Drosophila melanogaster: one gene and its partners. Changing the gene in region 2 together with the main gene of any one other region gives a genetic interaction. Each region holds a gene or a part of one and is shown on either strand. Other genes may lie near its edges.

The links.
Region 1: of Nf1 (region 2) and car, changing one suppresses a phenotype caused by changing the other (phenotypic suppression), as found in Drosophila melanogaster (one study listed by BioGRID).
Region 3: of Nf1 (region 2) and Dsor1, changing one suppresses a phenotype caused by changing the other (phenotypic suppression), as found in Drosophila melanogaster (one study listed by BioGRID).

The regions. Positions count from the first base shown.
Region 1 is NC_004354.4:19,564,113-19,567,942, forward strand, and holds the start of car (carnation), read left to right. Parts: upstream 1-1,906; 5' UTR 1,907-2,014; intron 2,015-2,070; exon of another isoform or gene 2,071-2,102; 5' UTR 2,103-2,229; coding exon 2,230-3,672; intron 3,673-3,794; coding exon 3,795-3,830. Other genes in the region: Grip84 (Gamma-tubulin ring protein 84), read right to left, coding at 1-6, 74-580, 661-1,195, 1,302-1,357. UniProt on the Drosophila melanogaster protein: Core component of the class C core vacuole/endosome tethering (CORVET) and the homotypic fusion and vacuole protein sorting (HOPS) tethering complexes involved in endo-lysosomal vesicle trafficking and lysosome biogenesis.
Region 2 is NT_033777.3:25,981,045-25,984,644, forward strand, and holds the start of Nf1 (neurofibromin 1), read left to right. Parts: upstream 1-1,968; 5' UTR 1,969-2,247; coding exon 2,248-2,304; intron 2,305-2,547; coding exon 2,548-2,691; intron 2,692-2,790; coding exon 2,791-3,175; intron 3,176-3,230; coding exon 3,231-3,372; intron 3,373-3,428; coding exon 3,429-3,600. Other genes in the region: fid (fire dancer), read left to right, coding at 1-253.
Region 3 is NC_004354.4:9,245,395-9,249,224, forward strand, and holds the start of Dsor1 (downstream of raf1), read left to right. Parts: upstream 1-1,947; 5' UTR 1,948-2,404; coding exon 2,405-2,514; intron 2,515-3,147; coding exon 3,148-3,787; intron 3,788-3,830. Other genes in the region: Larp7 (La related protein 7), read left to right, coding at 1-329; amx (almondex), read right to left, coding at 813-1,667. UniProt on the Drosophila melanogaster protein: Required downstream of Raf in the sevenless (sev), torso (tor), and Drosophila EGF receptor homolog (DER) signal transduction pathways.

The DNA of each region.
Region 1 (3,830 bases), on a different chromosome or scaffold from region 2:
TATCAGCTAGGCTCGGTGGAAAAAAAGATTAGTTAGGGAAAAATTTTGCCACGACACGATTGCACATCCTTACATAGAAGTCGTGTGTAAGTTCCTGCAGTGCCTCATTCAATGAGTTCATCACCTGACCCAGGCCGTCGGTAGCCGCGATTATCTTCTGCACGCCCATGAAGTAGGAGGCCAATGGCAAGATTTCCCGCACCTGGTGTGTCAGCGAGCGATCGAGGTGCGTGTGTATGTCAAAGTCCGTGTCGTATTTGGCCAGGCCAACGGCAGAAATAATTGGCTTCTGAGGCACCAGGAGGCTTTCTCTTATGCCCGTGAGGCAGTGCAGCAGCTCGTCGAGCAGCATACTCTCCTGGCTGAGAAGCGGCATTGCCGCGATCTCTGCCCTCGGCACCTTGTCCCCGTCCACCTTGTAGTATTCCCACAGTAAATGGGTGCGGTACTCATCGGGCACATCAGTTAGCGTCACCAGGTCATTCGGCATTGACTTTGGGCTGTTGCCCGTTTTGTTGGTCACCGAGCGGTAGCCGCTCAAGGATTGATCGGAAACGGCATTAAGCACACGTTCCTTGATCTGTGTGGGTTGATCATTGATTATTTGAAGGGGCCAAGTAATTGGCAGCGAACAGCACACCATACTTAGTCTGCACTCACCACACTTAAGTCGTTGCGCTCATCCTTGCCCGCTCCACGGTTACGGTCCATTGGGCCGCGCCTGACAAAGACTACGGGTGTAGTGTCGGATTCAGTGGCCTTTTTGCAATTCACCGGCGTCGAGGTGGGAAAGTCCTGGGACTGGGTCAAGCTAAGCCTGGTGGAACCAGATACGTTTTGCGATGTGGTTAAGATTGTCGAGGTGCTTGCGATTGCCAATGTGGTGGGGACTGAACCGGCTGCGGAATTAACATCCGAAGTCTTGTTTCCGTGCGGCAAGCCCATCGCTGAAAGGCTAGTGGAACTGCTGCTCTCGGAGACTGGTTTGCATTCGCTGTATCGCTCGACGAACACCAGCAGTGCGTACATGGGATCCTTATTCTGCAGAATGTGCGAGATCTCCTTGGTCACCTCTGCGAAGTTGGGACGCTTCTCGCTGATGGACACCAGGACTTTGATCAGATCGCAGGCTGGCAGCCGCCGATCACTAGTGGCCCGAAACTCCCGAATGATGCTCTCCGGAGTTAGGGGCGATCTGTGGGATAAAAAATGACAGTAAACTATGGTGCCAATGGCGGGAAAGAGGCGGTGCAGGAGCAACGGCTAGATCGACTGGCCACCTGTGCACTCAATCCACTTACTGCGACTCGCTGATCAAATTGGCGAGCACACCGCGCAGCGCATGGGGTTTACTCATCACGGAGATGGCAATTTATAGTTCCGCGCTTCTCAATTTACAGTTATAACCGGCAATTGAGCTCTTTTTGAGTGCGCCGCTCTTCTCAATATTTTGTTGTTCTTTTCCGGGTTGCTTGAGTGCCGACTGCAGCGACAGGGTTGTCATCTGTCCTTGTAATGTTCTAGTTTTTTTTTCAATCCTTAGCCGTTTTAAAATCGCAGATGCTCATTTTATTTTACGCGCTTGCAGCAATTTCGGAATCAATTTAAACTGAAATGAGCAGCACAAGCAACTTGATGCAAATTGGCATTTGTTGGTATTTAATTGTGAGGATGTGGTGACACTGGTTGCTGGCGAAAAAGAGGGGTGCGTTTAGCATAGTTTACACTGGACTGGCCACTACTGTAACTTATTTGCGTTAAAGCGTGCAAAGCATTGAAAAAATACAAATTTTGTTAAATGAAAAAAGCTGTACATAAAAAATAAATAAGAAATACTTTCTACCCACAGATTAAATAATTGAAACTACTCCTCTATTATTTTATTCTATCTTAACTTTATATTCTTGTTTAATCAACAAAATTTATATCTGGCAACTGTTTTGATTTTAAATTGCAGGCAAGTGATAGTGTGAATGGCCCATAGAGCAGCGGACAGTGTGACCGTGCCATAAGGGTAAGTGTAAGACCGCACTGCTGAGCGCAGGCGCAGTCCAAATCAGCTGCTTTGCAGCGATTACAGTCGCGTCCCTGATCTTCTGCAGCCGAAATCCGTGGGCGTTGCACCAACACCACCAACGCACTGCACAAACCGCCCACCAAGGACACGGTAGCGACCGACCGGAAGCCGCAGAGCATACGAATCAACACTTCTGGCAAGAGGAAAGGAGCATGTTCCCCCACTTGAAGGGCCATGGTCAGCGGGTCAACCTGCAGTTGCTGCAGGAGGCCGCCTGCCGCGAGCTGCTGCAGCAGCTGGACCGCATTGAGGGTTCCAAGGTTATTGTGCTGGACGAGACCATGATCGGACCGCTGGACTTGGTTACCCGGCCAAAGTTATTCGCTGATCGAGGCATCCGTCTGCTGGCCCTCAAGCCGGAGCTTCATTTGCCGCGCGAGGTGGCCAATGTGGTGTACGTGATGCGCCCACGCGTGGCGCTGATGGAGCAGCTGGCCGCCCACGTGAAGGCAGGCGGAAGAGCGGCCGCTGGACGGCAGTACCACATCCTGTTCGCCCCGAGGCGGTCATGTCTGTGCGTCAGCCAACTGGAGGTCAGCGGCGTGTTGGGCAGCTTCGGAAACATCGAGGAACTGGCCTGGAACTATCTGCCGCTGGATGTCGACCTGGTATCGATGGAGATGCCCAATGCCTTCCGCGATGTGAGTGTGGACGGTGACACTAGCTCGCTGTATCAGGCGGCAGTGGGCCTAGTGCAGCTGCAGCGTCTATACGGTCGCATTCCGAAGATCTACGGAAAAGGAGAGTTTGCGCACAGGGTATGGGAGCACGCCAAGCAGCTGGGCCGGGATGAGCGGACTCTGTACAACGGCGACAAGGGTGTCGTCGATCAGTTGATCCTTCTGGACAGAAGCATCGATCTGCTCAGCCCGCTGGCCACACAACTCACCTACGAGGGGCTTATCGATGAGTTCTACGGCATCCGGCAGAACAAACTGACGCTGCCCGCCGAGAACTTTCCCTCTGACGGAGCCCTTCCCGGAGGCGGAGGCAGTGGCCCACGAGTCGAGGAATCGCAGTCGCTGCTGGGTGACACCGAGAAAAAGACCATCCTACTGCACTCCGGCGAGCAGTTGTACGCGGAGCTGCGGAACAAGCACTTCAACGAGGTCACCAAGCTGCTCGCTCGCAAGGCACGGGAAATTCACGTCCAGATGCACGCCACCTCCCAGGACAAGAGCGTGCAGGAGATCAAGAGCTTCGTCGAGAACCTCCTGCCGCAGCTAATGGCCCAGAAGAAGGCCACCTCTGAGCATACGGCCATCGCTGGCCTCCTGCACGAACAGGTGAACGCGGTGCGCTTCGCTGACGACCTGGCTGCCGAGCAGGAGTTCATGGTCTGCGCAGATATCGACAAGCCAAGCGCCTACATCGAGGACCTGATTGCCTGCAGGGTGGAGTTGAATCGCGTCCTGCGGCTCATCTGCATGCAGTGCCACGCCGCCTCCGGATTCAAGGAGAAGCTGCTTAACCACTACAAGCGCGAACTGGTCCATGTGTACGGTCTGGAAGTGCTGCTCACCATCAGCAACCTGGAGAAATCGGGCCTGCTCCATCTGCAAACAGAGTCGCGGGCTTACAGCGTTCTGCGAAAGGTGAGCGCCAATTCAGTAATCCAACCATATTTAGTTATAAGTTATATAGTTATTTGTGAGTGAATATATGAGGGAATGCTATTTAGGATGTTGCTACATCAAAACATCATTTTCTCTTGCAGACGCTGCACCTCACGGTGGACGACAACGTTGAAATT
Region 2 (3,600 bases):
AAACCAGGCACCGAATCTCCAGCAGCGTCCCTCCAACGATTCCCTGGAGCACTCGAACAGCTCCACCAACTCCCTGGACAGCCCCTCCCAGGGCGGAGCCAGCACACACCACCGCTACTACCATGTGTTCCGCGAGGGCGAGCTGGACGCACTGATCAACCACCATGTGGCCAGCCTGCACATCGTTAGCTCCTACTACGAGCGGGCCAGCTGGTGTGTGGTGGCCGAGAAGGTTCAGGTGTGGACCATCTAAGCACCCAACTCTCAAACGGGGATTCGAAACGAAACTTAAGTTTATTTGCTATTACTGGGACCGAAGCATGTATACCAAATATTTAAAGGATATACGTTAAATTACTTTGAATTACATTTTTTTATACGCATCTAATACATTTTAAGTTGCTCTACAAAAACACTTGAATATCTTTTTAGGACATTCAAAATCCAAGCAGCTTTTTTGATTTTTTCAAGGCGTACCCGTTTACCCGTTTGAATCCCTGATCTAAAACAAATGCCCATTTCCTAGCTGTAGTCTCTGATCTGATGCCCCCAAAGGAATTGTTAAATTTAGTCTATTACTCTAGTCGGCTGGCGGTGCGGGGCGGGGAAGGCCCGTCCTGCTATCCAGCACTAATTTATTGTTAGCAGGCCTGCTCAAGGACGCGAACGCAGGATTGCACTGCATTGAAATCCAATTTCAAAGGAAAACTTAGCTGTAAGAACGAAACCAATCGAATCGAATGCGATAACGAAACAACGCAAGCTAAATACAAATCTTACTAGTTATACGAGCATATTCTATTTACAACGATCATCTGTTTGTATCTTGCGCTATCTGCAGACTAAGTTTCAAGCACTTTATGCTATAATTTCGAAGCGAATAATCATCAAACGTCCATTGCAGCCAACATATACCACTTATACAAGAGAAAATCAAGATACCAGTTAAGCAGCTAGAACAAAGTAATATAGCAACTATGTACGTGCATGTATACACTCCTTAAAACTGCAAAGTTAATAGAACCCTCTAAAAATATCAATAACTGCATTTAAATCTATGAGAAAACCGTACATATATCGAATGCAAAGTAAAATCAAAAATATATACACAAAACAGTTTAAGAAACTCTTTCCGCAAGCTCACAATTTTCCACATATATAAATTTTTCACCTTTTTAAAGCACTTTTTTATTTACTTTAATTGATTGGATAAAGTACCCAACTCACTTCCCAAAAACGGCCAATAAGACGATTGTAACATAAGCCTATGCCTAAACTCAAATTTTTGTCAGCTTAAGAAGGGTTATTTGAAAAATAACGCAAACATTTTCAATAAAACCAAATATATACATATATATACCTATATGCGACTGTACATGTGTTTTTTAGCTAGCTAAACTAACTTTATACCGTAAAATAATAGAACAATTGAATAAATATTAACTAACGTTGGACGCAACACTAAATTACAACAGATAGAACTCGATTTGAACCTATTACTGCTCGAAATGCTGAAACATTATAAACATTAAGTATTGCTGGAAAATATGTATAATTTGCACAGAGCCAAACAGGCACACTCAAACGGAATTAACTCAAAACCCAAGCTACAAAACCATCTGAAATATTTAATATTGATAATTTGTAATGCATTAACAACAACATTAAATAAACTAATAATACTTACTGAACTGAATCTGTTTTAAAAATCATTTATATTTCTAATTGGAACACTTAGACCATATAAAATAATAGCATCAAATGAGATAGAACGAAATGAAGGCCAAATATTTTTGGAATTTTTAAACGCTCCTGTGAGCGCGCGCATTTACTTGTGGCTTATGGTCACCCTAATGAATTCAGTACTAGTTGGTCTGATGCCATCACTATTTGAAAATAAGCGATATATCGATAGGATGTAATTGTTATCACTTATAAAAGCGTTTCGGTATTGTGAAAGAAATGGAAGGCGGTACACACACAATATAAACATCCAAATAACAGCCTGTAAGCCCTTAGAAAATTCCCATAAAAAAAGAAACAGTGCCCGTTTTGTAAAGCCAAACCATCCAAATTGTTGGAAGAGAAGGAAGTGAACGTCTCAGGAACTGAAAAAAACACCAAGGATAACGAACAAAGATGCCACTCAACCAATTGCCACTCCCCAAGCTCAACGAAAAGCTGCCCTATTTAGTTGCTGAAATGCAGTAAAAAACGCATAAACAACTGTTAAAACACCACAACAAGATGACCCAGAAGCCAGGCGAGTGGGCTAGCGCCCTTTTGGCACGTTTCGAGGATCAGGCAAGTGTTTTCCAATCGCTTTTCCGCAGTTGCGTTTTCGCAAGCGAAAAAATGTACCTGCTGCTCTGCCTCTTCCTCCCCCACACATGCTCACAGCGACCTTGCGAGTGTGCGTGCCTCACCCGCTCTGTCAGTGTGAGCTCTCAATCAAATGCGTGGGAGAGCGAGATAGCAACAATAACAAAAACACCGGTTCCCGCATGAATGAAGTGGAATTGAGCAATCAATGGTTTACTTTTTCAGCTGCCAAACAGAATCGGTGCCTATGGCACGCAGGCCAGGATGAGCCAGGACCAATTGGTGGCCTGTCTGATCCACATATCGCGCTACCGCTTCTCCCTTGTCATATCCGGTCTCACCAAGATGCTGCAGAGGGTCAATGAGGCGGTAAGTACTCCATTCTCTATTGTTAACCCTTAAACTATGTTGCCTTATTTTATGGGGCTAGGATACGATTAAATTACTTAAACAAAAATTTCATTGCAGGCCCTTCAAAATCGCCATGAGCCAGAGCGTTGCTACTTTGAGTCGCTGGTCATCATACTGACCACTCTGGAACGCTGTCTGACCAACCAGACCAAGGACACAGCACGTTTTGAAGAGGCCATGAATGTGAAGCTTCTGCTGCGCGAGATCTCCCAGTTTGTCGACGTCCAGAGCGACAGCAATCCGAATGCCGCCCAGCTCAAGGCCCTGGCATCCAAGGTGCTCTTTGCCTTGTCCCAGAATCACTTCTCGGCGGTGTTCAATCGCATATCGGCCAGGATTCAAGAGCTGACATCCTGTTCCGAGGAAAACCCGGACTACAACGACATAGAATTAATTCAACACATCGATATGGATATGATAAAGCTAACCAAGCTGCTACAAGGTAAACTAACTTTTTTAATATTTCGGAAAGGTTAAACAACGTTTTACGTTTCCAGAAACCATCACAAAGTTTCGATCGAAGCGTGCTCCACCTTTGATCTTGCTTTACTCGCTGGAGAAGGCTATTTGGAACTGGATCGAGTACCATCCACAAGAGTTCCAGGACTTGCAACGAGGAACCAATCGAGATATATCAACGTAAGAGGAATTACAAGCGTTTTTAAAGTCACATTAATTGATCCTGTTTCGTTTAGCTGCTGGGAACCCCTGATGGACTTTGTAGAGTACTTTAAAACCGAAAACAAGAAAAGCAAGACTCTTGTTTGGCCGCTTCAAATGCTCTTGCTGATATTGAATCCCTCTTGCCTTGAGGCTGTTGTTAACGAACTTCAGCAGTCGGAGAAAGAGAAGGAAAAGGACAAGGAA
Region 3 (3,830 bases), on a different chromosome or scaffold from region 2:
AATTTAAGGCTGAAATGCGCCAATATCCGGATATTAAATATGTGGATATTAAGGAGGGCGACCAAGTGGCCCTACTACGTTTGGGCACGCCTGCCGCAGCCGAGGAACTGCTACGCCAGGTCAACTGCTCCGAGAGGCAGCTGAAAGTGCTCTCTGGCCAGCAGGAGACGCTCTATTGGCGAAAAATCGAGCAGGATCGCGAGGCGAAACTCTCGAAAAAGGTGCGCGTGCAGCAAAAACGCGGTCGCGAGAAAGTGGGCAAAATGCTGGGCAAGCACATTAAGTTTGATGATGGCGATGATGAAGTGCAGGCGGCCGCCATGGACTGAGTCACTTTCAGTTGAGGGGTGAGTTTGGATTTCATTTCAGGAAACTCTATAATATAAGCTATATAAATTTATAAATGTAAGCAAAAGATACATTTAGATCTAGCACAAGATTTCGTAATATTAGAGTAATATTGTAAAAACAAATTGAATTTTTAAAAAAGAAACTTCCTAGTGAAATTGAAATAAATCTTCTGAATGAAACAAACCATTTATTTTTACAAATTTGTCTGATCTTACAGGAACGAGAAAGAGATGGTTATATTTTCTCTTTCACTTATTTATTGATACGATCAAAGAATTGTGCTAGATAAAAGATACAAAAAAGAACTTTTGGCATTATTAATAAAATACATTTCCTAATTAATTATGTACACGTTTTTGAGAAGATCTTGCTATTCCTAATGGTTGCATATTTGCATTCGTTATTATGTACACTGTAATGGAAAAGTTAGCTTATGACCTATTAACCCCTGTAAAACTAAACTATATGTAAAGTGAGCCATCCGCTGGCCCCAAATAATGCATCGAGATGAGCAGGACATCGATGATGGTCCAGACGCCGAGGCCGCCAAAGCTGAACAGCTTTCCAATCCCTTCCTGCCAGTGGCCCAAGTAGAATCGATCGGCTCCAAAGCCCCCTAGCGTGAGGCTAATCAGCAGGGCTGTGCTCCACCGATAGCCCTGCGTCCAGTTGCATCGCAGGTTGCGGGTAAAGGATCGATTGCCGAGGCAGAGCACATCATGGTGCACGGTGCAGTTGGTACGGAATAGCTTATCCGTCGCCGAGTTGCAACTGGAGCGCTGGCCACAGCTCTGTTGCCACATTTCCGTTTGGTAGCAGTATCGGCAATTCATTTGTCGCTGGAAACTCCGTTCGCCCAGGCACTGGACATTGTTGATCACCTCGCAGGTTACATTCAAGTCCCGGCCGTAGATGCATCCATGATTGTAGTTGCAACGGATGCAGGGAAACTGCAGGCGATCACAGGGCGTTTCCTTATCGTACGGGCATAGCATGTTGTTGTTCCCATTGCTGCTACTGCTACTGCTGCTGCTGCTGTAGGCGGTTATGTTGTCCAGGAGTCCACCGGCACCTCCTCCACTCTTGGCCACCATGCTGGACACCAGGGGCGGCACATACACCTCGTTATCGTTGGCATTTCCATTGCCATTGCTCGCATTGCTGTTATCCTTGTGATCGCCTTTTGAGTCCGATAAGTCCATCTGGTTGCCACCGCTGGCCGTTTCGCTGTTCCTGATCCCCGTCAGCACGAAGATCATGATCAGGACAATGGCCGATCGCATGTTGACCACAATGCACTGTCGTTGGAGCCTCATTTTGGTCAGATAGAGCGGGGAATACGCCGGAAATGTTATTGTTTTTCCCTTTAAGAAAATGAGTGGGGTGGGAGAGTGTGACCGTATACGCGTGGCATGAAAATATCAACCGCGAATGCTCAGGAGAAATTTCTTTAAAAAGCGTATCGAATAGTTTATAGATATGTTTTGGCTCAATTAAATTGGCTAAACAGATAAGTATACCTCTCCCCTCATCGTAACAAATTAGTAATATCTAATCCTAATATCCTTTCCATTTAAGTTGTGACCATTGGCCGCTTTAGTCGTAGGAGTGTATTAACGGTATTTGGTAATCGCGACATCTGGCCATACCGCACCGTCTGCGAAAAAAACCCAAAAGTCGCCGATTTTGGCTGATTATTGCAAAAATAATATTAACTATCCGTTTGCTGTTCGTGTGCTCGGTTCGGGTGTGTTAAAGTTAAGCGCAACGCGAGGAATTGGTGCAAATTTACCAGCGGCTGGACACACAAAACGAAACATTCGCACTTGGCCTCCCTTCGCACGCCCCCTCGCCGACGCCCCTCGCCCCTCACACCCTTCAGCCGTTCGTCGGACGCCGCTGTTCGTAGTGCGTTTTGTTGTTGTTTCCACTGGAACACTCTCTATTTGTATTGTTTCATTTATTAGTTTTTTTTTGTTGTTGTTATTGTTGTGTGCTTTAACTTATCGGTAACGGATAACGGTATCGAGAGATATATATTATATATAGTAAGATGTCGAAGAACAAGCTGAATCTGGTGCTGCCGCCGGTAAATACGGAGGCAACTGTTGCCGCCGCCACAGTGGCGCCGACGCCGCCATTCAAAACCCCCTCGGGCACAGAGTAAATATTATACATAATATCCTTAATAACTGACTGGTTTTTAGGCCACCCATTCCAATAACACCGCATCCCCCCTCCCTCGCTGTTTCCCCTTCCACTCCTCGTTTTCGGTTTCCTACTCAGTGGTAAGATAATCCTGTAGTTTTGCGAGTTAGGTGGGTAATTAATATCCATCAATTGATCCAAGGAAATCCCATCCAGCTGGAAAGAAAGAGACAGTCGGAGTGAAAGAGCAGGTACTCTCTCTTTGTTTGTTGGTGTGGGTGGTGCTCCTTTCGTGTGACGCACAGGTACACAGCGAGAAAAAACTTACTGAGTAAATACAGTAAACTGTTTTAGTGCTTTTTGGATTAATTAACGGGATGACAAAGTCAGTTTCGAAGATAAATAGAAATTATAATTTAATAGTCCTACCTTTATCGTATATTTTTTTGTGAGCACCAAAATGTAGGCAACATAACATAACACAATACATATGTAATTTGATGTGTATGTTTGTGTAGTTTTCTTATTATTAGGAGAAACTTCGGCCCGCCCCTCATCCCATCCCCCACTTTCAAATCCCATCCATTGCTTGCACTTTTTACATTTTCGTTTTGGATCGCAAAAATTCATTAAGAGGTTAAATTAAAGCACACACAGTTTGCTGGGGAAGCCCAAGACGAGCATCGATGCGCTGACAGAGACGCTGGAGGGTCTGGACATGGGCGACACGGAACGCAAGCGGATCAAGATGTTCCTCAGCCAGAAGGAGAAGATCGGCGAGCTGTCCGACGAGGATCTGGAGAAGCTGGGCGAGCTCGGATCGGGCAATGGCGGCGTGGTGATGAAGGTCCGGCACACGCACACACACCTGATCATGGCCAGGAAACTGATCCATCTGGAGGTGAAGCCGGCGATCAAGAAACAGATCCTGCGCGAACTGAAAGTCCTGCACGAATGTAATTTCCCGCACATTGTCGGTTTCTACGGCGCCTTCTACAGCGACGGCGAGATCAGTATCTGCATGGAGTATATGGACGGTGGATCACTTGACCTGATCCTCAAGCGGGCCGGTCGAATACCAGAGTCCATTCTCGGCAGGATCACGCTGGCGGTGCTCAAGGGCTTGAGCTATCTGCGCGACAATCACGCCATCATCCACCGTGACGTGAAGCCGAGCAATATCCTCGTCAATAGCAGCGGCGAGATCAAGATCTGTGATTTCGGCGTCTCCGGTCAACTGATCGACTCGATGGCCAACTCCTTTGTGGGCACCCGTAGCTATATGTCGGTAAGTAACTGGATAGCTAATCAAAATCTATACTTAGGTGTAT